2 linked regions of the Notamacropus eugenii genome follow. The protein of the gene in region 1 purifies or fractionates together with the protein of each later gene. This does not show direct contact. Links are inferred from orthologs where the notes say so. Each region holds a gene or a part of one and is shown in the gene's direction. Other genes may lie near its edges.

Region 1 (11,455 bases):
CTCAAGGAGCTCACATTCTAATGGAGAGAGGTAACACGGAGGCAGTTTTAGCTGCAAATCAGATGGAAAGGTGCCGTGGCCTTCAGAGCAGAACTACAAAGCAAGTAATAATCTATCTTTTTCGATGCAATTTCCACCAATAAAACCATAGCCATTTCTGAGGTTGGACTATTTGGTAGTGAGGTTAGATGTGAGAACTTTCTTTTCCCAGTTTTCAGTAATTATATTTCTGAAGGAAAAAGAGTCTTCAGCTCTTGCAGAAGCAATTGACAAATTTCATCAACCATCCCCCTCAACCCGGTTGATTCCCTGGGTGATGGCTACAACAGGCTGGAAACAAGGCTGGTAGTATGGCTTAGCTCTGCTCTTCCAGCTGCTCTTGAAGTGAAGGCTTTGTGCCTCAGTTTCTCCATTTAGAAAATGAAGATTTGCTTTTAAGATATATGAGTCCAGTGTCTACCTGAACACAATTTGTGATCAGTGTAGACATTCTGCTTTGGAGGTCTTTTTATTTTATGTTTAAGGCTATATTCCATTTTGTTCATTTACTAAGCATCTAATGAGGACAAGGAGGGGTGATAGGTTCTGAGGTTATGAAGAAAAAAATTGTAATACTCTTCTTGCTCCAAGGGAGTTCATCTTTTAAAATATTTTTCTTCCTGGTTATTGGAATTTGCCATTGTTAGATGCTATGGGACTGTTAAGTGACTGTTCTTCTGAGTCTAATTCTGGGTATAGGTACCAAGAAAGGCAATCTGAGCCTGTAATCCATAATGCCAGTAAACTGATGACATGCTAGTATGAACTGCATAGGTGATCTCAAGGGAAGGGTGGGAGAGCAGCTGTTCAGCATGGGCTGAGGTGGAATTCTCCTGACTCAATTTCCCCACTGACACCTGGCAGACTTTAAGCCTGACAATGCAAGTGGATAATCTAATCCTGCCTGGAAGTGACATGAAGTTGGGGAAATATTATATCCCTGCACTGTCTCTACTCTTGGTGGCAATTTCCTATAGTCAAAAGGTTTGTAAGCTTAATACCAGATCTATTCAGTTATAGATTATGGGTAGGGGAACATTTGAGGTTGTCTAAAATTAAGCTATTAGGCATAGGACTTTAGACCAACAACAATAAGTTAGGGTCCTTTAATTCTTAGTAATACTGTGGAGACAATTAGGTCAAGAGCTTTTGAAGTTAGCAACATAAATATTATTTATGTCTCAGTTGGTTAATGTTTTTAAAAAAATTCTTTTGTGGTCCATATTGTAAATGCTTTAAAAAGAAGTATCGCCTGACCAAAAGTTGGAATTGCTTTATCTGTTATAAACTGTGTTAAAAATAAATAATAAAAAACTAAAGTAAAATAAAATATTTTTCTTGTTATTTAGTTGTGTCTGACTCTTCATGACCCCATCTGTGGTTTTCTTGGCAAAGATACTGCAGTGGTTTGCCATTTCCTTCTCCAGCTGATTTTACTGATGAGGAAACTGAGGCAAAGAGGGTTAAGGGACTTCACAGGGTCACACAACTAGTAAGCATCTGAGGCCAGATTTGAACTCAGGAAGATGATTCTGACTCTGGCCCTTTAAGATAATATATATTTGGGGACACTGAGGTAGCAGGAGAACCTGAGTTCAAATCTGGCTTTAGACACTTGACACTTACTAGCTATGTAACCCTGGGCAAGTCATTTAACCCTGATTGCTTTGCCAAAAAAAATTATATACACATATGTTTATGTAAATATGTGTATATAAATATATTTCTGTATGTGTGTATATATATACGTATACACGTGTATGTGTGTGTGTATAGTTTAATAGTCTGTTGCTCTAAAATCTCACGTCCTCAATGTCCATATTTCCTTTTGCCTAGTCAGGGGTAGGGAGCCTGAAGCCTTGAGGTCACATGTGGCCCTTTATGTCCTGAAGTGTGGCACTTTGACTGAATCCAGATTCCCCACCCCTGACCTAGTCTATACACAGAATTTTCATTGAAAAATTTCTGGTGGAAGATGAAGTAAGGCAATAGAGAGGGAGACCCACTCAGAACTTATTAGATATTTCTCTTGGCTGTCAACATTCGTGTTTTGAATTTTTGTTGGGGGTATTTAAAATCATTTGACAACTTTAAGAAACTGCCTGAAAAAGCTAGGAATCTGTTGTTATGTGTGAACTGACGCTATTCTAGTCTATAAACTTTCCAAGAAAGCCCTGTTCTTCTCCACTCCGCCACAGAATCCATTACTTGGCCTTCCAGCAGTTCCACTGAGATAAAGAATGGAGCTAAGGATGGATCATCAGTACTTCCTAGGTACCTAGCACGCACAAGACCCTGTTCAGATCTGAGGAGCACAGCTGGAAACTAAACTGAGGACAGGAATGAGACTGTGTTTACTAGGTCCAAGTAACTACAGCTCCATCTTTTCTCTGGATTATTTTAAGGTTTGTGTGCATGGTGGCAGGGTGATTTAGTGACTAGAGTGCCTGGCCTGGAGTCTGGAAGAACCAATTTCAAGCCCAACCTTAGACATTCCCTAGCTGTGTGACCCTAGGCAAGTCACTTAACCTAGGTCTGCTTCAGTTTCCTCAGCAGTAAAGCTGGGATAACAAGAGCACCTACCTCCCAGGGTTGTTTTGAGGATCAAATGAGAGAAGGTTTGTAAAGACTTTAGCACAGTGCCTGGCACATAATAGTTGGTTAATAAATGTGTATTTGTTCTTGCCTGCCTGCAATTCATTTGATTGTGTGAAAATCTGCCTTCAGTATAAAATGCCAAATCCAATTTAAATAGTGCCCAAGATCAGTGTTCTCCCTCCTCCCAGACTCTGGGTTCACAAAGACCCAAGGCCACTCCAGAGTTCTAACTACCTCCTCAAGAAGGTCATTTTTCCCCCTCTGGCTTTTGCTCCCTCCCTAGATGTCTCACTCATAAGAAATCTCCAGAATAAATTTTGGGCATGACTTACACTAAGTTTGTCCAAATATTAGTAACAAGGACCCCCACCTCCTCAGTGAGCACTAAACATACATATGCTTTCATTTCTCCCACTAGAGAAAATGCATAAGACACAAAGGACTCATGGGAGTGTATGAACAAGTACAGAAAAATCAATCACTCCAACAGTCTGTTAGGCTCTCACACATACATATACATATATACATACATATATACCCAGAAACATACATTTCTTTTTCAATACTTTCCATTCAGCTTACACCTGTATCATCTGAGCAACTCATGGCAATAGAGGGGTTGGTAAGGTCCAAATTGCTTGTCTGTCCCCACCCCACCACCTCACACTCCTAACTTAGGTCCTACTCATCTTGGAGGTAGCCAGAATCACTGGGAACTAATCAGAGGAATTCCCTGAGTCTTCTTCTAAAGGTACTAGATTGCATATCTTTCACTCTTGGAATCTCATCAATTTGGAGGAGAAAGGAGGAGAACTCATCAAATTGACCAGGGATCCCCTGGTCAACTCCTTTTATATAAGCAAAGGTTGATAATTTTCCCATAAGTGATAGCAACACCAAATCTAGCATTGCTTTGCTGGAATTATCAAGAAAATGGAAAATAATTTTCATGTTATTTTAAATTTCCAATAGCCAAAGTATTTTTTGTATTACAGGTATTTCCTGACTCACAGAGATAAACATCAACAGTCTTTCCCTTTTGGGGTCCCAACTCCTTCTGGAACATAATCAATTTTCTTCAAGTTTACAAAACTGTTCCCTTTTAGATTCAGATAAGGCAATCAGTGGCTTCCTCATCTACCTTGAAGGGAGGGTGAGTGGCATATGATGTTTCCCTGTTGCTGCCTGCCTTTAGATACCAACATTCATTCCGGATATGTTATGCAAAAGGAAAGGGGGAACTCTATGTTCCAGATCTCCCTGAGCTTTCTTCTCCTTACATAATTTGGAATATTTTTCAAAGAAAATGTGTTAATAAAGTGGCTATATTCCCAGGGTAGTTCACCCCCACACACACACACTCCCTAAACAAACCCTAAAATAATAGAATTCTATGATTCAGTTTCACTGTGGGTTAAACAGCCCTTTGCGGGTTTTTGAGAACCACCATGTTTTCCATGGGAAATTACTAGAGCCCTAAACAACTGACTTACAAAGAAACTTTTAGACCACAACAGTCTTGTAAATTAGAAACTACCTATATTGGTAAATTGTAAAGGAAACCATAAAAGGTAAAAGTGGCTGTGGCTTTGAGTCTGTTGGTTTTATATTTGAAAAATAGAATCAACTTTTAAATTCTCTATGAAGTCATAAAATACTTACTGTTTCAATATTTTTCTGAACTTATTTTAAAATTTATTTACTTTATAAGATTTCAGTTAAATCTTAGGGGAAAGTTACTTCTTTTGTATTTTGAGTATTCTTTGATGATGTTCTTAAATTTCTCTAATAATTTGAACATAACTTCTTTCTAAATTGTCATTCATATATTTTTTCACCTAATGATTTTTAAATTTAATTGCTTAATGATTTTCATATTGTCTAATATGATTTTAATTTCACTTAATTTCCTTTAATGATTTTTGTTTTAAAATTCACTCAGAGAAACTTCATAACTTAGACTCTAAATACATTAATACAGAACAATGAGATTAGATCCCTTGTCCTCAGGGAACCTTCTTATTGACTCAGACTAGGTGCAACATTTAAAGTTGGACATTGATACTATGTGACTTCTCATATATCCCCTTACTGAAAAGTCACTTGTATGGCACTGACTTAAAAATGCATATTGTTGGGTTTTTCTCCAATATTATGTTCCTTTTTCAAAGATCTGACTTGAGCTATCATGAAGGATTGTTTATTTTTTCCTTCCCCTGCTGCTATTTAAAATGGAGATGGATAGCTGTAAATAGGGTCCTGCATGCTTTCTTTGTAAATTACATTATTTATATGGTAGTGCCACTTAATATGATTGCCATTCTACCTAAAATGGAATAAATTTTAATTGCAGTTCACCTTTAATTATGTTTTTGGTGTTTAATTTTTTAAAGTTACCCATTCTTCTGAGTATTAATTGTATTCTGCGTTGAGTCTTTTCAATATTAAATGTGTCTGGGTGTTTACAGTCTTTCACTGAATTCTAAAATGTCGACTTGATTTTCCATATTGCTTCAACCCAAAATTATTTGATAAAGTTGAGTGGTCAAAATGGCCTTCTGGGGACAGTGGATCTAAACTAATTTCTGACAAATTGATAAGATGATGGAAGATATTGAGCTTTTACCACACAGTATTCATTAAAAAAAAAAAAAAGCCCACTGATTCCAGCTTGGCTCAGTGGGATCAAAGCCAGCTTCTGGGGCCTGAGTAGCTTCTGGGAGCGTCAATGAAACTGGATATTGCTGATTCAAGGACCAAGCCCTGGCTCAATGAAATGAAAATGCTAGTGGGTGAATGCTTAATTCAACGAAACTGGGTCTGACCAGGTCAGAATATTGGCTGGACTTAAGCTTGAATGAGGTGTTCATCAGCCCAAACTCAGGATCAGGTGAGACCTTAAAATAATGCTAACCTAGGGAAAACTGCTAAATACCTCAAGGGTCTCTCCCTTATTCTCTTATGGACGTCAATCTCTCCTCCCTCTACCCACTACTCCTGTGCTCCCCTCCCCACCTCTTTCTGAAGCTTGTAGAAATCTCTGATTGGTTTTTTACAGCAGTACTGGTGGTGTCAGAAAAGAGGTAATAAGCAAGTAGTTTTCTCTGGATCAGCCCCCATGCAGGCGTTCGGGGAAATCAAGGCGAGGCTGGAACAAAAACCAGCAGCCAGGCCGGCTAAAACTAGGCAAATTGTGGGAGGATTTAGGGGTTGGACATAGGGGGAATAATAGGACTCGGAAATCAGGATTTATTCATCTTGCAGAGCTAATTTTTTTTAAGGTGGTTGAAGAAAGAAGTTGGCAAATGCCCATAGCTGGTGAGAAGGAAAAGCGAACAGTTTACATTGAACAGTTCTGCCAGGGGGTCCTTGGGGGTAGGGTGGCATAGAAGGACATCTCAAATCTGATAGTTTGGGAGATGGATAACAGGAAGGCAGCACTCAGCAAGGAAAGAGAACTAGCACTTTTCTAAAAGCAGACAAAAAAAAAAAAACAGGAGAAAAATTATTCTTTGCGAGCCCCCTTGGCTTAGCCTTGAAAGCCTTGAAAGAGGAGGACTAGAGGGACGAACACAGGCTGAGCACACACGGAGCCGACTCCGGGATGTCCCCAGGACACTCCTACCGGTCCCACTGCCCAACTCTTTGTCAACCTGCCTGAACCCTCGGGTTGTTTTTCTACCTCTGCCTCTGAATGGGCGGTGGGAAGGGGGACGAGCAACCCCTCAGACCTTTGTGTTCCTGGCTGGCTCCATGTAGATTAGAAGCTGGATTGCAGTTACTAGGCTGGCTGGAGAGGGAAGGAGGAAGAGAGATGTTGAGACAAAAAGACAGGAAAGAACGCCAGCCCGGGATTCAGGGAGGGAGCCCTTCCCGCTCGTCGGTCAGATGGGCAAGGCTGCGTTATGCCTTGTTACAATACGCTACCGCACATCCCACCCTCGCCTGCTTAGCGCTGGCACCCTAGCCAGAGTCTAGCTTCCCTAGCAGCGCCTCCAGCGGCCTCCTTGAGGGAGGCGGGAGTAGGGGCGGATCTAAGGGCTGGAGACGGGCAAGGAGGCGTGCCAGGGGGCAGGGTTGGTCGGGGTCTCAGGTGAGGAGATTGGGTGAGAGGTACTCAGCAGGCGGCGCATGGGGAAAGGCTCCGGGGGAAGGGGAGACAGCAGGCAGTTTGGGTGAGTGCTTTGGGATGGGCTTGAGACTGACGCACCAGTCCATCCTCTAGCCCCGCAGGAGATAGACAAGCAGCGTGGAGACCCAGAACAGAGAGTACTTCTCTGGGCTCCACTATTTCGGGATTTGGAACCAACGCCCCTAACAGTGCTCTGGGAGGAGACGCGTGATTTCCCACTTGCTCTCTCTGCACTCCCTGGTTGTGTAGCCAGGATCCCGGGCTCCTTGTCTAGTCTCCTTTTCCAGTTCTCTGTAAATTGCCCTTGACAGATCTCTCTCTCTCTCGCGTGCCAAGTAGGAGTAAGTTCCGATTTCGGGGTGTGTCAATAAGCGCCAAACACTGGGGAAATGCCGTGACCTCACGGTTTCCAAAACATCCTGCTTCCGTGGCTATCCTCGGGGCAACTGTCTACCTAGAGTGCTTAATCCCTTGGTCTCCTCCTGTTTATTCCATGTGAAATGTTTTATCTGTTCTGGTGTACTGACGATCTTCAATAGCCGCTATCTGTGAAAGGAGCTAGGAAGAATCCTAGGGTGAGGGAACCAGGGACCAGTCAGTTGCTGGTCTGAACACCCCTCCCAAGAGGGACGAGAGTTGGGCGGGGGTGTGGGGGAGAGAGAAGCTAGAAGATCAGCCCCTACATGCTCCCTGCCTGTTGCTGGAAGGGTGCAGCGAAGCTCAGTAGAGGTGGACAAAGGTTCCTCCTCTCCTTCCCCTTGGGAATCTAGGGACACAGTAGGCTTGGTGCCTTTAAAATGGGAACCGAGGAGCACCTAGGCTCACAAGCAAAATGAACGGGTGGGGCTGGGCGACAGTTATATCTCGACTTGGATCCAGATCCCCTACTGTCCTTTCCCCTCCACCTTTGGGCTACAGGGCACCCGGGACTGGTGAACAATGGAGCGGGTGGGCAGCGCCCCGGGCACCGAGTTGTATAGCCTGAGTTACCCCCCCCCCCAAGCTGCTTGCTCAGACTCCCTGCCCTGGGTTGTCTCTTGAGGCAGATGGGCATCTTACGCTTAATCGATTTCACTTGGCTTTAAGTGGAACTGGCTGCCATCCCCCAGCCTGTCTGAAGGTGGGGAAGGCGCAGTCCACCTCTCCTCCAACCGACACTGGAGCTCCGGAGACCACTATGGGGGCTGGAGAGGTCAGGGAGGCAGGGGTGGGGGCTGGGACAGCTGCGCCTCTGCTGGCTTGGGTGCAGACAAACCCCTCTCCTCCTTCAGCAGTGGCAGCGGTGGCAACAGCAACAGCAGCAGCAGGCGACTTGTGAGTTGCAAGAACAAGCTGCCGCCTCCCGGGCGTTTGGCACTCCTGTCCTCCAGGATTTCGAGTCCCTCTCTCTGCGGCGGCTGCTGCTGCTACCCCAGGACTCCTCTCCCGGGTCCCTCCAACCCCGGAGCTAGCAGCATCCTACAGGCAGGTCACACGGAGGCCCTGCCTTGCTTTGCTAGCTGTGCCCTTCTTTTTCCACTGCCCAAGGAGAGACTGCCTACTAGTTGGCACCGAGACCCATTGCCCCTGGCGCCTTCCTTCCACACATACACCTCCTACGCTTAGAGAGCCCTAGCGGGGACTCAGAGACAGACGGACTGACGGAGAAAAACACTGAGGGAAACTTACTCTGCTGCCTGCCTCTTGTCAGGCGATTTACAGGCGAGCTTATCGGGGAAAGAGGGAGGGAGAAAGAGAGGAAAAGGGGAGAGGAGAGGAGGGGAGGGGAAGACGGAAGGAGAGAGGGAGGGGAAAAAGAGGCGGGTGTGCAGTTTGTGAAACTCCTCTCTGTCTCGGCTCATCATTTCAATTGCTTGCTTCTCTCCTTCCCGCAGACACCCACCGGACCTCCCCTGGGCGCGATCTCTTCAGTTTCAAGGGGGTCAAGAAAAAAAAGACACCGGATTTTTTTCCCCTCTTCTTTCCTTTTTGGAAATTGTCTTTAGGCTATCCGTGTCTCCCTTCTTCCTCCCTCCAACACCGAGACCTTCTCCACCCACCCGCACGTTGGGATTTTTTTTTTTTTTTTTTTTTTTTTTTTTTTTTTTTTTTTTTTGGAAATGGCCCGGGCAGCGGCTCTTGGAAGAGGAACAAGTGTGGGAAAAGAGAGAGGAAACCGGAGCTAAATGACAGGATGCAGGCGACTTGAGACACAAAAAGAGAAGCATTTCTCCCGGATCAAGGCAGTGTTCCGCTGCTGCTTGCTTTTCTCTAAGTCAGCCTGAAGGATTTTCAAGCTGCGGGAGGACTTGGGGCGGTCCAGGGAGTTTTTTCCCCCCCTTTCCCTTCTGCCCTCCCCCTTCTATTTGTCTCCTTCGTCCCCCTCCCCGAGTCTTTTTTTCTCTGCCTGAGGCTTTCCGCGTCCTGGCTGAGGAGAATGGATTGGGGGCTGCTCGTCCTGCACTGCGCCGCGCTCACGGTTGCCCTTACCAGCGCGGTTCGGAACGGTAAGTGACAGCAGCAGGCGGCGGGAGAGGAGCGTCTGACAGCCGCACGCACGCCGCTGGGCCCCGGGCTGGAGGGCGCAGGAACCCCGGGTGGGCGCTGCTCCGAGTGAGGACTCGCCTGCGCCTTCTAGCTGGGTGGGCACCTCGCCACAGCTGCTCGGGACGCGGGCACTCGCTAGCCTTCTCATGGCCTAAACGAAACTTTTTTGGAGGGGGGAGGAGAAGATGTTAAGCGTTTTACATCAAGAGGATTTCAGAACGTGTGTGTGTGTGTGTGTGTGTGTGTGTGTGTGTGTGTGTGTGTGTGTGTGTGTGTGTGTGTGTGTGTGTGTGTTTCCTCTCTGTTACAAAGCAAAATTGCCTACCTTACCAGATCAGCGCACCAATTATCGTAATAATGTTTCCTCCCAAAGGCAATTAGATGAGAATCCCTTTCAAAATTTTGATGGCTGCTGAAAGTTAATGAACGCTTTAAAGAGGAAACTTCCTAGGCTTCTTAGTATCCCAAATATCCAGCAGGCTCTGGTGTGTATCCGCAGGTATTGATGCGGGATGTGTGTTTTTCCGAGTGCTGCTAGTCATCTGTCCCCCAATCCTGTCATGAAAGTCTGGAGTTTGAATGAAAGTTCCAGTGTCAATAAAGGAATTTGATATCTACAGCGTAGGAGATGAGCTTATTTGAAAATCTCCACTGTTCAGTTTGATTTTAAAATCTCTTCGGGTTAAGTAAACGACAGAATATGTGGGCTATAAACAGGACCATGTAACATAAATAATATTTTAAAATGTAATCTGGCTCTGGGATTGTTTGCCTCCCACTTTAAAGTAGGTGAAGGCTGGGATGTGAAAATCTCTTTTCAGTTAAGCCTTCAGCAATTATTATTAACTAATTATCAAATATTTGCTTTTGCCTGACTTGGATTTCAATCAAAGTAATTAGAAGAAAAGAACATCCACTACTTATTGTGGTATATTGTTTTAATAAGAGACCACAAGTGGAGTGTTTTATACTGAGAGGAATTTAAATCAGGGTTTTATGATGGAAGTTAATCTCTCTAATATGTTTTCAGGAGGCTGTGTGATTTAAGCAATAGATTCCCCCCTCCGCAACCACCGTGTTCTCGCAAATATGCTAGGAAGGTAAAAATGTGTGAATGTTAATTTGTGACTTATTAATGAACTCCAGTTGGTGGTATCTTTCTGAACTCTCATAGCAAGGGTATGGGGGGGGGGGGGTAAGATAATCCCCTCTTCCATTTGAATGAGTTCAACTGACCAGTACTTGGAAATTAACAGCCTTCCCCCCCACCTCATTCATGGCAGACTTTGTATGTATGGTGAGAGAAGTGCACCAATAGGGGATTTGAAATCAAATGCAAAAGGTTGTAGAAAATTACATAGCAACTACGATGTCATATTTCTTCAAATGCTTAGCAGGAGTAATGGGGACTGGTAAAGAAACAGAGATGCAGCCACTCATTCAGTTAGAGTTTGAAAAAAAAAAAAGCTCCAGCAGCAGTGGAGTCACCAAGGCCACCCTCTTTAACTTATCAGAGCTTCTAAAGCCATGTCCACCTCCTCCCAAATGCCAGTGCCTGCTAAATTAATTCATTAACCTTATTTAGGACTAATGGTCCTGAGTCATTAGAAACTGCTCTTTCTTAATCAACTGTTAGAGAGATTTAACAGAGCCAGAGAGTCTAGCAGTCCAGTTATCTTATTATACTGTCACTTTCTCAGAAGTCATAGATTAAAGAGCATTGGTGGTACCGAGCCCACCTAATCGTCTTCTGAAGGGACTCTTGTCAAGTGACTAGGAGCAGAGCTGTTTTATTTCACTCTTTTAACAGATGCCAGATTCTGCCATGTTGTTTGCACAGAGCTGGAGGAGACTTAATGAGACGGGGTCACTTTCCAAGTTCTCTGCAAATTTAGAATAATGCAAGCCTCTCAGTAAAATCACATAACAGAGTCCAATATGATCATTAGCTGAGATGTTGAACTCCAGAGGCAACATCGCTTGGTCTTGGCAAGCACAAGGCTTTTAAAAGCCAAAAAAAAGAGGAGAAACCAACATAAGTCTACTCTAGTCCAAGAAACATGGTTAGAAACATCTAGTGGTTGAGAAAACAATAGAATTTGTATTGTCTTCTTTCTCTCTAATTTATGGGAAATGATTTCTGTAATGCATGTAGCTTTA
Region 2 (11,813 bases), on another chromosome or scaffold:
AATGCTTTTTCCTTCATTTCACTTTCTAATGCATCTCCAGTCTCTTTTACTGGCTCCTTCTCATCTGCCTACACAGAAGATTAGGTCACCCCAATTCTAAAAGAAAGCCTTTCTGTGACCTTTATATACCCTCCAGCTACCCTATCTTGTTTCTCTTCTCCCTTTCACCATTAAACTTCTTAACAAAGTTGTTTACACCCAACATTTTCTCACCACCCACTCTGACCAATACCATGCAATCTGGCTTCTGTTCTTACCACTTTATTGAAATTGGTCCAATCCTAATGGTTAAATCCAACGGTCTTTTATTCATTCCTCATCCTCCTTGACCTCTCTTCAGCTTCTGACACTGTGGGCCCTATCTTATTAGATACTTTTTAATCTCCTGGCTCTTGAAACAGCATACTCTCCTTAAAACATCAATATGAATGTCCTCCAAGATTCTGTCATTGGTCCTTCTTTTCATGTCCCTCTACAACTTTCTTCCTTGACAGTCCCATTTACTCCAGTACTCTTACTACAATCTCGATGCATATGGCTGCCAAATCTATTTCAACCCCGACTTCTTTTTCCATCAGCACAGATGATTTAATATATGCAGAAGAAAAAATTATCTTTCCACCTGAACCTATTTCTTCTTTTGAATCCAGTCAATAAGCATTTATTACTCACTGACTCTATGATAGACACTAGGGATACAAAAGCAAACAACCAGTCCCTGCTCTCAAGAAACTCACAATCTAGTGGAAAAGACAAAAATATAAACAACGTTGTGCAAAGAAGATATATGCAGAATAATTGGAGATAATTAACAGGGCTAGGGAAAGATTTCTTGCATAAGGCAGAGTTTTAACTGGTACTTGAAGGAATCCAGAAAGACTAAGAGACAGAAATGAGGGGGGAGAGAATTCTAGGCATTAGGAAACAGCCAATAAAAATAGTCTTGAAAATACCTGGATAGACTTATATGAACTGATGCTGAGTGAAGTGAGCAGAACCAGGAGAACATTACACACAATAACAGCCAAAGTGTTCAAGAACTGTTTTTGATAGACTTAGTCCTCCACAGCAAGGCAAGGACTTAAAACATTTCCAAAGGACTCATGATGCAAAATGCCATCCACATCCATAGAAAGAACTATGGAGTCAGAACACAGAATGAAGCAGACTATTTTCTCTTTTGTTATGTTTGGTTTTGTTTAGTTTTACTCATGCTTTCTCCCATTCATTTTAATTCTTCTATGCAATATGCCTAATGTGAAAATATGAAGAATGTATGTGTAGAGCCCACATAAGATTGCATACCATCTTGGAGAGGGAAAGCTGGGGGATAAAATTTAAAACTTATGAAAGTGATTGTTGAAAATTGAAAACAAATAAATAAATTTTGGGAAAAAATTGTCTTGAGTTGGAAGATGCGTATCTTGTGTGTGAGACAAGAAATGGGGACAGTGTCACTAGATCACCGAGTACAGAGAGGGGAGTAAGGTATTAGAGGACTAGAAAAGTAAGAATGGGACAGGTTATGAATGGTTTAAACACCAAACAGAGGAAGTAATGGTGAACCACTGGAGTTTGTTGAATAATAAATGATGATGACACAGTCAAGACCAATTTAAGAACTGAGTGGAGTATAGACTTGGAGTTGGCAGAGACTTGAGGCAGGAAGACCAACCAGAAAGTTACAGCAATAGTCAAAACATGATGTGATGAGGGCCTGCACCAGGTTGGCAAGTGTCCGAGAAGAAAAGGTAGTTCACAAGGTGGAATCAACAAGACTCAGCAACAGATTGGATACAGAAAGTGGGAGAGAGTGACGAGTCAAGAAGGATACCTAGGTTTTAAGCCTGGGTGACTGAGGATAATGGTAGTGCTCTCATCAATAACAGGAAAATTAGGAAGAGTAGAAGGACTTGGTGGGGGAGGGAAGATAAAGAATTTGGAATTCACTGTTTCTGAGGATTATGCCACCATTTTACCCAATCTCTCATCTTCAGAACTTTGGTGTTTTCCCTGATCTGTCTGTCTTCTCCACATTTCCTATGAACTCCATTACTGAATACTGCAGATTCCACCTTTGCAATTACTTTTACATTGATTTTTCCCAACTCTGTTCCCACTGTCAGTATGTCATTGCTATCAGTCTAGATCATTGTTACAGCCTCCTTACTGCTCTTCCTGCTTTCGTTCTACTATCTCCCATGTAGCCTGAATACCAAATTCTTGAGATTTATCTTCCTCAGTCTCTTCTCTGCTCAAAAGATCTTCCAGGGCTTTTCATTTTCCACTGGATAAAGTTTGAATCTTTTACCTAGAATTCAAGATCTCTCCCCAAAATATGGTACCCCTCAACCTTTAAAACCTTATTGCCTATAACATTCTTCCCCAGATTCTATCTTCTAGCTCAGTGGTTTCTCAAAGTGAGGTTCAGTGACTCCTAGATGATGGGGTATGGGACCTGAAACCCCAAAATGCTACCCAGCTCCTGAACTTTCCCACACATCCCCTTCTAGATATTCAATAATCCTTCCAACTGTCCTTTCACTGTGGCCCCAACCCAAGCAGGCCTTCAGTATGTGTTACCTATGGACCACCCCACACTACTTCCCACTCCTTAATCTCATCTAGACCCCTCTCTGTCACCTCCAGTCCTTTCTAGGCTACTTTCTGCTCCTAGATCACATCCAGATCTTTCGCACAGTCTTTCTGTATAAAATATCAACCATATCCCCTACTAAATTGCTCAGATTCCTAAAATCTGGCCCACTTGTATTGGCATCACAAATAGCACAGACTCACTAGGAATCTCGCCCACCCCAACTGGTGTTTTAATAAACAACTTGGACTGAAAAGAAGCTTGCGTGGTCAAATTCTTTAGTGGCAGACTCATGCCCTTTTGCCGTTGCAGTTTGGGGTTCCCAAGACCAGTAGAATTGCAACATAGAGACCCCATGACCTTTCTGGGAGTCTAAGAAGTCAAAACCATTTTCTAAAAATACTAAAAAAAAAAAAAACACCTTTAATTCATAATACAAAAAGTATTGATAGATACAACTCACATAAACAAAAAATTTTGAAGAATATCCTGAATAATTTTCATGAATGTTAAAGGGGTCCTGAGACCAAAAAAATTGAGAACTGCTCTTCCAGTCAAATTAGACTCCTTTCTCAAAAAAACTGAGCTTTCTTTTCTTGGACCTTTCTCATTCTTTAGTTGTCCTCTTATTTTCTTGTCAAATTCCTATATATCTTTCAAAGCTTAATTCATATACTACTTCTCTCATGTGCCTGATCCCCCAAATTGCTAGTTTTCCCTCTCTTATATTTTACATAACATAAAACTCTGGAAGATGTTGAGAGGAGGACAGATAAGATAGTGAAACACATTTAGAGCATATTGCATAAGGAACTGGAGCTGTTAGCTCGAGAAAAGAAGTAGGGGGAGGGGGACAAGGGGGGAGGAAGCAAGGCCAAAATAATTTGGTGCAGTGACAGGAGAACTGAACTTGAACCACAACTTGAACATGAATCCTTGCTCTTCTATTTACTATCTATCGAAACCTGGACAAGTTGGACTAGATGACCTCGAAGGTCCGTTTCAGGTCTAGATTAGATACACACTCAAATCTTCAGGCAACTGAAGAACTGTCATTAGGCTTGTTCTTCTTAGAGCCAAAAGACAACACTGAAAGCAAAGAGTAGAAGTTTCACAGAGGCAAATTGAATTTTGTTTTCAAGAAAGAAAGAAAAAAAATCCTAGAAATTAAGAGTCAATTTTCCAAAACGGAATGGACTGGAAAATAGTGGGATCTGACTTAGTAGAGGTCTACAAGCAAAGGTTGAATGACCACTAGTGAAATATGTTATTGAGATGACTCTTGTTTAAATATTAAGCCTGGAAAACAAGGCCAGTATACTGTTTCTGGCGCTAAGAGATAAGGGTCTAGGAGGTTAGACTATAGTTTCTGAAGACAGAGAACAAGGAGGATGAGGACTGAAAAGGGAAGCACTGGATTTAGCTATTATTTGAAATTTATCTAAGGTATGTCACCTAATATCGTGAACAACAGTTTCTTGGGTTTGAGCTTCATCATACTATCAGATGGGTGCCATGCTTTGATCAAATTAAGTAGACACTCAGTAGATCATTGAAACAGAGATGGAAAAGACCTTAGCCACTTAGTCTAGCACCCGCTTTTTACAAATGAGGAAATTGAGGCCCATGGAGGGTAAGTGATCTGCCCAAGATTATCCAGATAATAGTAACTATTAGAACCAGTACTTTTTATATCATATTAGGAAATCTCCAATAAATGCTTATGGAAATGAAAGGGCATAGAAGATAAAGGAGATGAACTTTTCTTTAAAGTCTCAAGATCTAGGGTGAAAGTAAAGAAGTATCTTCTCTCTCTCTCTATATATATATATACATATATACAGACATACATATATATGTATATATGCATATATAATATGGATTATATGATATAGGCCTTATATGCTAATACAGTCTCAAAATTGTTATGGGTTGATAGAAAAAATAAGTCATTGGAAGAGGGATATATTGCTTAGTCATCCTTAAATGTACTCATGCCTCCTAAGTCTCCTGGTGTAGTTATTATACTTTTGCACAATTCTATTTTTTTCCAATTCTAAAAGCAAGTCAGATTTTATCACAAATATTAACAATGGCAAACAAATTTTCAGCAATGGAATGTACTGATATCAGAAGAAGAAAAAAAAGGAATTGGTCCCAAAGAAACCTTTTACTTCTATGGTGGCATTAAATTCTATGTATTTAATCTTGAATATCCTCCCTCATGCTTTAATGACTTTTGGAAAGGAAAGGAACCACCTTTCCTCCCTTTTGTTTGATGCTAGTCAATGACATATTTTCTAACCCCCTCCTTCCCGAAAGAAGGAGCAAGTCTTGTCTAAAAGTATATATTTGTCCACTGTGAAATTCTGTTGTTTTTAATAGCTCATAAGGCCAAGAGAATTTTGAATTTAATAATCTATCTAAGTAGCTCTATCTCCTAAACACTGGGCTCATCCTAAGAAAACACCTATTAAAGAATTTTAAAGCCTGAAGGAAAAACCTTTAAGATCAACTAGTCTAAACTTTGATCCTGGAGTCAGAGAATCAGGATTTATCTACATCTCTGATAGCTGTATGTCCTTGGGCAATCAATGTCCAGGGCATTTAAAGTTATTTTAATTTTCTCATCTATAAAACGAGAGGGTTGTATTAAATAATCTTTGAAGTCCATTCCACTTTAGATCTATGATCCTTTGGCCTTTCATTTTATTGATGAAGAAGCTCAGGGAGGTGAATTCACTTGCTGGAGGTCATACAGCTAGTTTTGTTGGCAGAATCAAGCCTGGATTCCAGGTCCTTTGATTCCATTCCAGAGCTGATTTTCTGACTGCATTCCAGTGAAGTTAAGTGTTAGTAAACAGAAAAGGGAAACAAGTCTTAGGTGAGGGGAGGAGGAAAGAAAGGAGGGGAAGTCCAGACAGAGTGGGAGATTCTGGAGGGGGAGAGAGAAAGAGAAGACATAGGGAAAATGAGGAGGCAAAGGATAGTGGAGGGGCAAAAGAGAAAAGGGAGAAAGACAGAAAGAGGGGAAGAGAAAAGAAATGGAAAAGGATCAGAGAAAAGGATAGGCAGAAAGAGACAGAAGCAGAGAAAGAGAGATAAGAGGAGAAAGGAAAGAAGATGGGGAAAGTCAGGGAAACGGGAGATACAGAGAGGGAGAGAGGAGGAGGAGAAACAGGTAGAAAGATGTAGGGAGAAAAAGAAATACGGAAAGAAAAAGGGGAGAGAGGAAAAGAAAGGGAAAGAGAAAGGGGCAAGAGAAGAAAGGTAAAGAGCAAAAAAAAAAGGGAAGAGAAAGAGGGAAAAGAGTAAAAGGAGGTTAAATCCGAGAGAAGAAAGGAGAAGAGGTGAATGAGATGAGCGAGGGAAATAAGAATTTGGAAGATAAAAAAAGTGAGAATAAAAATTAAGAGGGAAAGTAAAGATGGACAAAGACTAGGAAGGGGAGACTATATAAAGGGGAAAGGAAAAAAGAGGGGAGGGGGAAACAGGGAGGTCAAGAAAAGAGGAGAGAGACAGAAAGAGGGGATAGAGAGAGGAGTGGAAGGGAAGGAGGAGGAGAATGGGGGGAATAACAGTGGGGGGAAGAGAGAGAAAAGGGGGAAGGCAGAAAGGGAAGAAGCGCGGGGAGAGGAGGACAGGAGGAGCAGGGTGCCGCAGAGGTGGCGCGCACCTGAGCGGGGCTAGCCCCAGGCCCCGCCCCCAGCGCCCCCCTTTCCCCAGTCCCCCGAGGCCCCGCCCCTAGAGGCGGGGCAGCGGGGCTCGGGGGCGGGGCTCGCGAGTGCCCAAAGGGAGCGGGACAGAGCCTCTCACTTCTGCCCCTGGGGGCCGGCCAGCCGGGGCGGGGCTGGGCGGAGCGTCGATTCCGTAAGGCGCTCGGGGGCCCCGAGCCCAGCCGGCGGCGCCCTCCCGCCCAACGGCTTGTCAACAGTCGCGGGGGTCCGAGAGGGAAGCCTCGGAAGCGGGCGAGGCCGTGCGTGCGTCCCGGATCCCCTCCCAGCTGGGCGGCCGGACTTGGCCCCGGGGAGGGGGCGGGATGTGCTCCGCCGGGGAGCTGCTGCGCGGCGCGGGCGGCGACGGGGAGCCGGACGAGGACGGGGACGGAGCCGAGTGCGGGCTGGAGGGGCCGGGGCCGGCGCCCGCGGAGCCGGAGGAGCCGGAGGACGGCGGCCGGAGCCTGCTCGAGGGGCAGCAGCAGCAGCCGAGGCGGCGCGGGCGGCCCCGGCAGCAGCAGCAGCGGCAGCAGCGTGGTCCTGGAGGAGGCGGCCAGGAGCAGCCCGAGCAGGTGAGCGAACGGGCGAGCGGGGCCGGAGCCCCGGGGCTGCCCGCCGGCCGGTGCCAGTGCGTGCCCGGAGCCGGGGGACGGACCGGAGCGCAGCGCTGCTCCACCCCGGGCGCCGGGGAAGTTTCGCTCCTGACGGGCTCCGCGCCCCGGCTGCCCGGCCTCGGAGTCCGCGCTCGGCGCGGGTACGGGGGGCACGCTGCCCCCTCTGCCACTTCTCCAGGGGCCGCCCGGGGACTGCGTCATGTGGGCAGCCTGGGAGCATCTGGGTCAAGGTGTATGCGTGGACAGGACCGCGGAGGGGGTGCGGAGGGGGTGCGGCGTGCCTGCTCTCCGGCGTGCGCGAAGGGGAGCCGGGGCAGCCCCGCGGCTCTGGGCATCCCCGCAGTCCGAGGGTCCTCTCCTCGCGCTCGGATGCCTCCCCACCCCCAGCAAGGTGCAGCGAGGGGGAAAAGGGGAGTGTCTGCCCCCGAGTTCGAAGCCTGGCTCTGCCACTTCTGTGTTCATGGGCATGTCGCTGATGCCCTCTCTGAGCCTCCATTTCCTCATAGGGTAGGAAGAATATTCAGCCAAGTGATCTCAGAAGTCCTTTCCAACTCTCAGATTGTGTGGTTTTATATGAGCCGGTATACATACCATACACTCCTCTCCAACTCTGACATGGCCTGATTCTTTCTTTGTATACACACCATATAAGTATGGTGTGTGTATAGGTAAATATATGTGTGTATGTGTAACTTACGCCTAGATACACTCATACTATCCATACATGTGTGTATGCTATATGGTTCTGTGTATGTATACATATGTGTGTATACTACACAACATATATGTACCATATATAAGAATCATGTGTGTATATGTGAAGTGTATGTGTGTGTATAGAAACACACACACCATACATATCTGGTCTGTATACAAAGAATCCTACGTGTGTTTACAAAGAAATATGTATACATATGTATACTTTCTATGGTATATATACAAAGCATATACACACTTTATATACTATGCATATATGGTATGAATACAAAGAATCATATACATGCACAGACATATACTATGTAGCATTATATATATGCATGTATGTGTACGTATTGTATAGTATAGTTTGTCAGTAAGTATTTATTAAGCTGTTGAAGTGTGCTGATTGCTGTGTTAAGCTCTGGAGAAACAAAGAAAGGTAAAGACAGCCCCTGTTCTCAAGGAGTTCACATTCTAAAGCGTGCAGATAATTTGTTACACAAAATATATACCAAGTAAATTGAAGGTAAGCTCAGTGGGAAGGCACTAACATTATGGGAGAAAGGAAAGGCTTCTTGAAGAGAAGGTGAGATTTTAGCATAGACACAGAAACTATAAACAGTCAAAGGGATTTGAACTGGGTGACTTCCAAGGTCCTTTTCAGTTCTAAATCCATGCCTTTAAGAGTGAAATGACATTTTAAAGGCCCTGGGAAATATGTTTTCCTCTTAGGTCATTCTCATACTTACCCATATTCACATATACCCATACTTACCCTATTCTGGAGAGCACTAATGTGTTATATCTGGCCTAACTCCCTTCTCATTCAAGTTCTTTTTTCTTTTCTTTAGTCTCAAAACAGCTGTTTACTACCTTATACACCGCATATATGTGGATATGTATTTTGCTTTCTTTATATGTTCCATACTTCTCCCAGTATTTGGCATGTAATAGGTGCTTAATAAATGCTTATTTTCTGACTTATATGTGAGGACATAATCCAGTATTCTTTCTACTTTATTGCTCAGTCAGAAGATGTAGATGAGCATCCTGAATTTGCTCACTTGCGGTATAACCTTGCCCAAATCACTGAATTTCTTTGGGTCTGATTTTCCCCAGAGTAAAAAGAGAGAAGTGAGCCTGATGATCTCAAAAGTCCCTACCGATGCTGCCATTCTGTAATTCTGTATGTGATTGTATATACACTGTGTACATAGCATATAGGTACACAGATACAGTATTTTGTGTGTATGATCAGGAACTGAAACTACAAACAGATGCTTTTTGATGTCAAGCAAGTTATTTCTAATCTCTGAAAGCAAATAGAATCGCATGCTGATAAAGAAGAAAAAAGAGAAACTGGTTTATGTTAGTATCAAAGGTGGAAGGGAACTGAGATAAGGGAAAATGAGAAAGTAGGCAACTCCAAAATCCCTCCTAGGCTGCTCCAGTCTCTTAATATCCTCAGTATATAACCAAAGCAATGGAAACAGAATGAAGTGGTCAGTGGTCAAAGGGAATGGAGCAAAGTTTAAGGTGAATTTTGACTAGTAAATACAGTAATTTGTAGCATGAAAAATGACCTAGGTAAATCACTTACTAGTCACATTAGTTAGCAAGAATATATTTTATTGTATATTACATTTCTTTGATTTTTCTACATGTCATATGAGCTCTTTGTTTATTTTATCTTTCTTTTTATCCCTAGCACTTATCACATTGCCTGGCACACAGCAGCTACTAATTGCTTGGTCACTGACTGACTGACCTATAGTTTGGTGAACAGAATTGCTACGTCTCTTCCTTCTCACCTGCTCTGCTCTACCTTTCCTCAAACACAAACTCCATTTCTAAATTAGTGTGTGTGTGTGTGTGTATGTATGTATATATTCCAATCAAGATAAATTATTTTAGCATATGAAGCAAAAAAAAAAAGAATTTTTTTAAAAGCACCCAAAAAGATATACTTTAGCACTGAGTTCAACTTTGACAACCTTAATTTATCACTGCTGACTATGGGATGACTAAAACCAAGAACTGGTAACCAGGATGGTTCTAAGCCCCTTCCTGGAACCTTCTCTGAGTTGGTTGCACAGTGACTAAGTAACAAAAAACTTGACTTTCTTATACCGTAATCCCTGAAATGGAAAAATAAGCCTAGGAATCAGAAATCTAATTGAAATGAGTTTGGGTAGGGGGATTTGGGGAGGGGTAGTGTCTGAGAGGAATATTCAAGAGAGAAATTCCTAAATAAGTGATCAGATGGATCTAAAGTATTTGATCATAGCTAACATTTATACAGTGCTTTCAGGTTTACAGTAAAGCACGTGTCTTATATTATCTCATGGGACCCTCATAATTCTGTGAGACCAGTGCTGTTATTCTTATTCCAGTTTTACAGATAAAGAAACTGAGGCAGAAAGAGGTTAAGGGTCTTGCCCATTATCATGAGGTAATAAATATCCCAAGTGAAGGTCTTCATGACTGGTAGGCTAACTACCGCTCCACTTAGCTATCAATTCTTATGAGGTCAACTTGTTGCCCATATAGGTGAGTCTTCATTTGTGGCCCTTATGTCATGAAAAGTTATTTTTGACCAAAAAAAAAAAAAATGAACCAGAGAGCAAAGGAATATGCTTAGTAGCATTAGAGATTTTTTTATGTCACTATAAGGCATGTATATCTTTCCTTCTTTTTATAAATGCAAAGTTCAGTTTCAGATAGGCTTTTGAAATGGAAATAGATTATTCCATTTGGCGGCTGGAAGAAAGTGTTTAGCCAAGCCCACTGGCAATTTACAGTACTGTGTAGTTGAAAACTACACTGGAGTCATGATTGATTTACTCAGTCAATATTACAGCTATACCAGTGATATTGAATACTTCTTAGTCAAGGAGCCCAGAACATATTAAAATTCATTGCAATTAGAAACTGCATTCATTCAAAGGGGACAGAAGCAAATTCTAGAGGAAAAGCAACTCTTTTTATAAGCTGTTATGAACATAAAGACATTTCATTGTTATCTTATCATGAAAATGTAATTTATAATTTCACCTGTTGTCTGTAGAAGCAAAAAATTGTTACCAGGAGAGTTCTGAACCACCACCACCTTCCCTCCCTCTTTTTCTGGTAGCCTTCCAGGGACAGGCAAACAACAGGTACTTACTACTTGCTAGGTACTGTGTTGGACATTGGGGATACAAAATGCAAACAAAAAGAAAGCCAGCTTCTGCCCTCCCTCTAATGGGAGGACAGCACATAAAAAATTGTTGAAAAGGATGGAAGGAGGGGGTGGGGTGGAGTGGGAGCTTAAAGGACCAGAAGGTACCCATGGCAAGGTCATTGTGGCAAAGTCCAGAGAGTCAGAAGTGTAATTTGAAAGGGGATGAAGGATGGCAGCCCTGAGCCCTTAACAAAGGTTAGACTCCAGAAGTAACTCACCAATGGCATAAGGGATTTGAGCAGAGGCATAGTCCAGGGGGAGAAGGCAGCTGAGGGATGGTAGAAAACACAGGAGAGTCAAGTAGCAAAAGAGCTTGTATTCTTATCCCTTAATCCCCTGAAATGGAAATGAAGCAATGTTGGTGGGTATTCATATGAAATGACATAATTTTGGAAAGCAGTGAATAAATCACAAAAACAACTCAGAAAACTATTTAGTTTGTTTTTCTGTTTTTTCAAGTCCCAATTGGGTTCCATCAGTTATTGAGAATGAGCTGAATTGCATTTGAAAAGTATTTTTCATGTATCCCAAGCTGTTCCCTGACAGAAAAGCCCATCTTTTTTTTTTCTAAAACCAGTACTCTCCCTGTGAAGCCTTTTTGACTATAAAATATGGAACACTATCATGAAATCTCCAAAGAGTCAGAATTATGGGTGACCCAAAAGTCAACGAATGGTTAGAAGTAGGCTGCCATAGCAATATATTACCAGTGATGGCATCCATGCAAGAAGCATTATAAAGCAATTCAAGGGTATCAAATCAGTCCATAAGAAAAGGAAGTAGGCCATTCAGGAAATAACAAGAAGAGTCATCTTAGTGCTACCCTGGAATGTAGAAACACCTGGTAAAAGGTAAGCTGGCTAGGTAATTAAATCCTCATTGTTGATGAGCATTTTCAGTTGTGTCTAACTCTTTCTAACTCCATTTGTGGTTTTCTTGACAAAGATACTGAAGTGGTTTGCCAT

What was found.
Region 2: the proteins of NRP1 (region 1) and FAM241A purify together in Homo sapiens (affinity purification with mass spectrometry; 3 studies listed by BioGRID and IntAct, with this or other methods). This does not show direct contact. The link is inferred for Notamacropus eugenii from reciprocal best matches to the Homo sapiens genes NRP1 and FAM241A.

What each region holds. Positions count from the first base shown.
Region 1 is NC_092874.1:73,280,053-73,291,507, reverse strand, and holds the start of NRP1 (neuropilin-1), read left to right. Parts: upstream 1-6,733; 5' UTR 6,734-6,812; intron 6,813-8,042; exon of another isoform or gene 8,043-8,233; intron 8,234-8,297; exon of another isoform or gene 8,298-8,470; intron 8,471-8,643; 5' UTR 8,644-9,185; coding exon 9,186-9,255; intron 9,256-11,455. UniProt on the Homo sapiens protein: Cell-surface receptor involved in the development of the cardiovascular system, in angiogenesis, in the formation of certain neuronal circuits and in organogenesis outside the nervous system. Mediates the chemorepulsant activity of semaphorins.
Region 2 is NC_092878.1:117,822,472-117,834,284, reverse strand, and holds the start of FAM241A (uncharacterized protein FAM241A), read left to right. Parts: upstream 1-6,506; 5' UTR 6,507-6,635; coding exon 6,636-6,884; intron 6,885-11,813.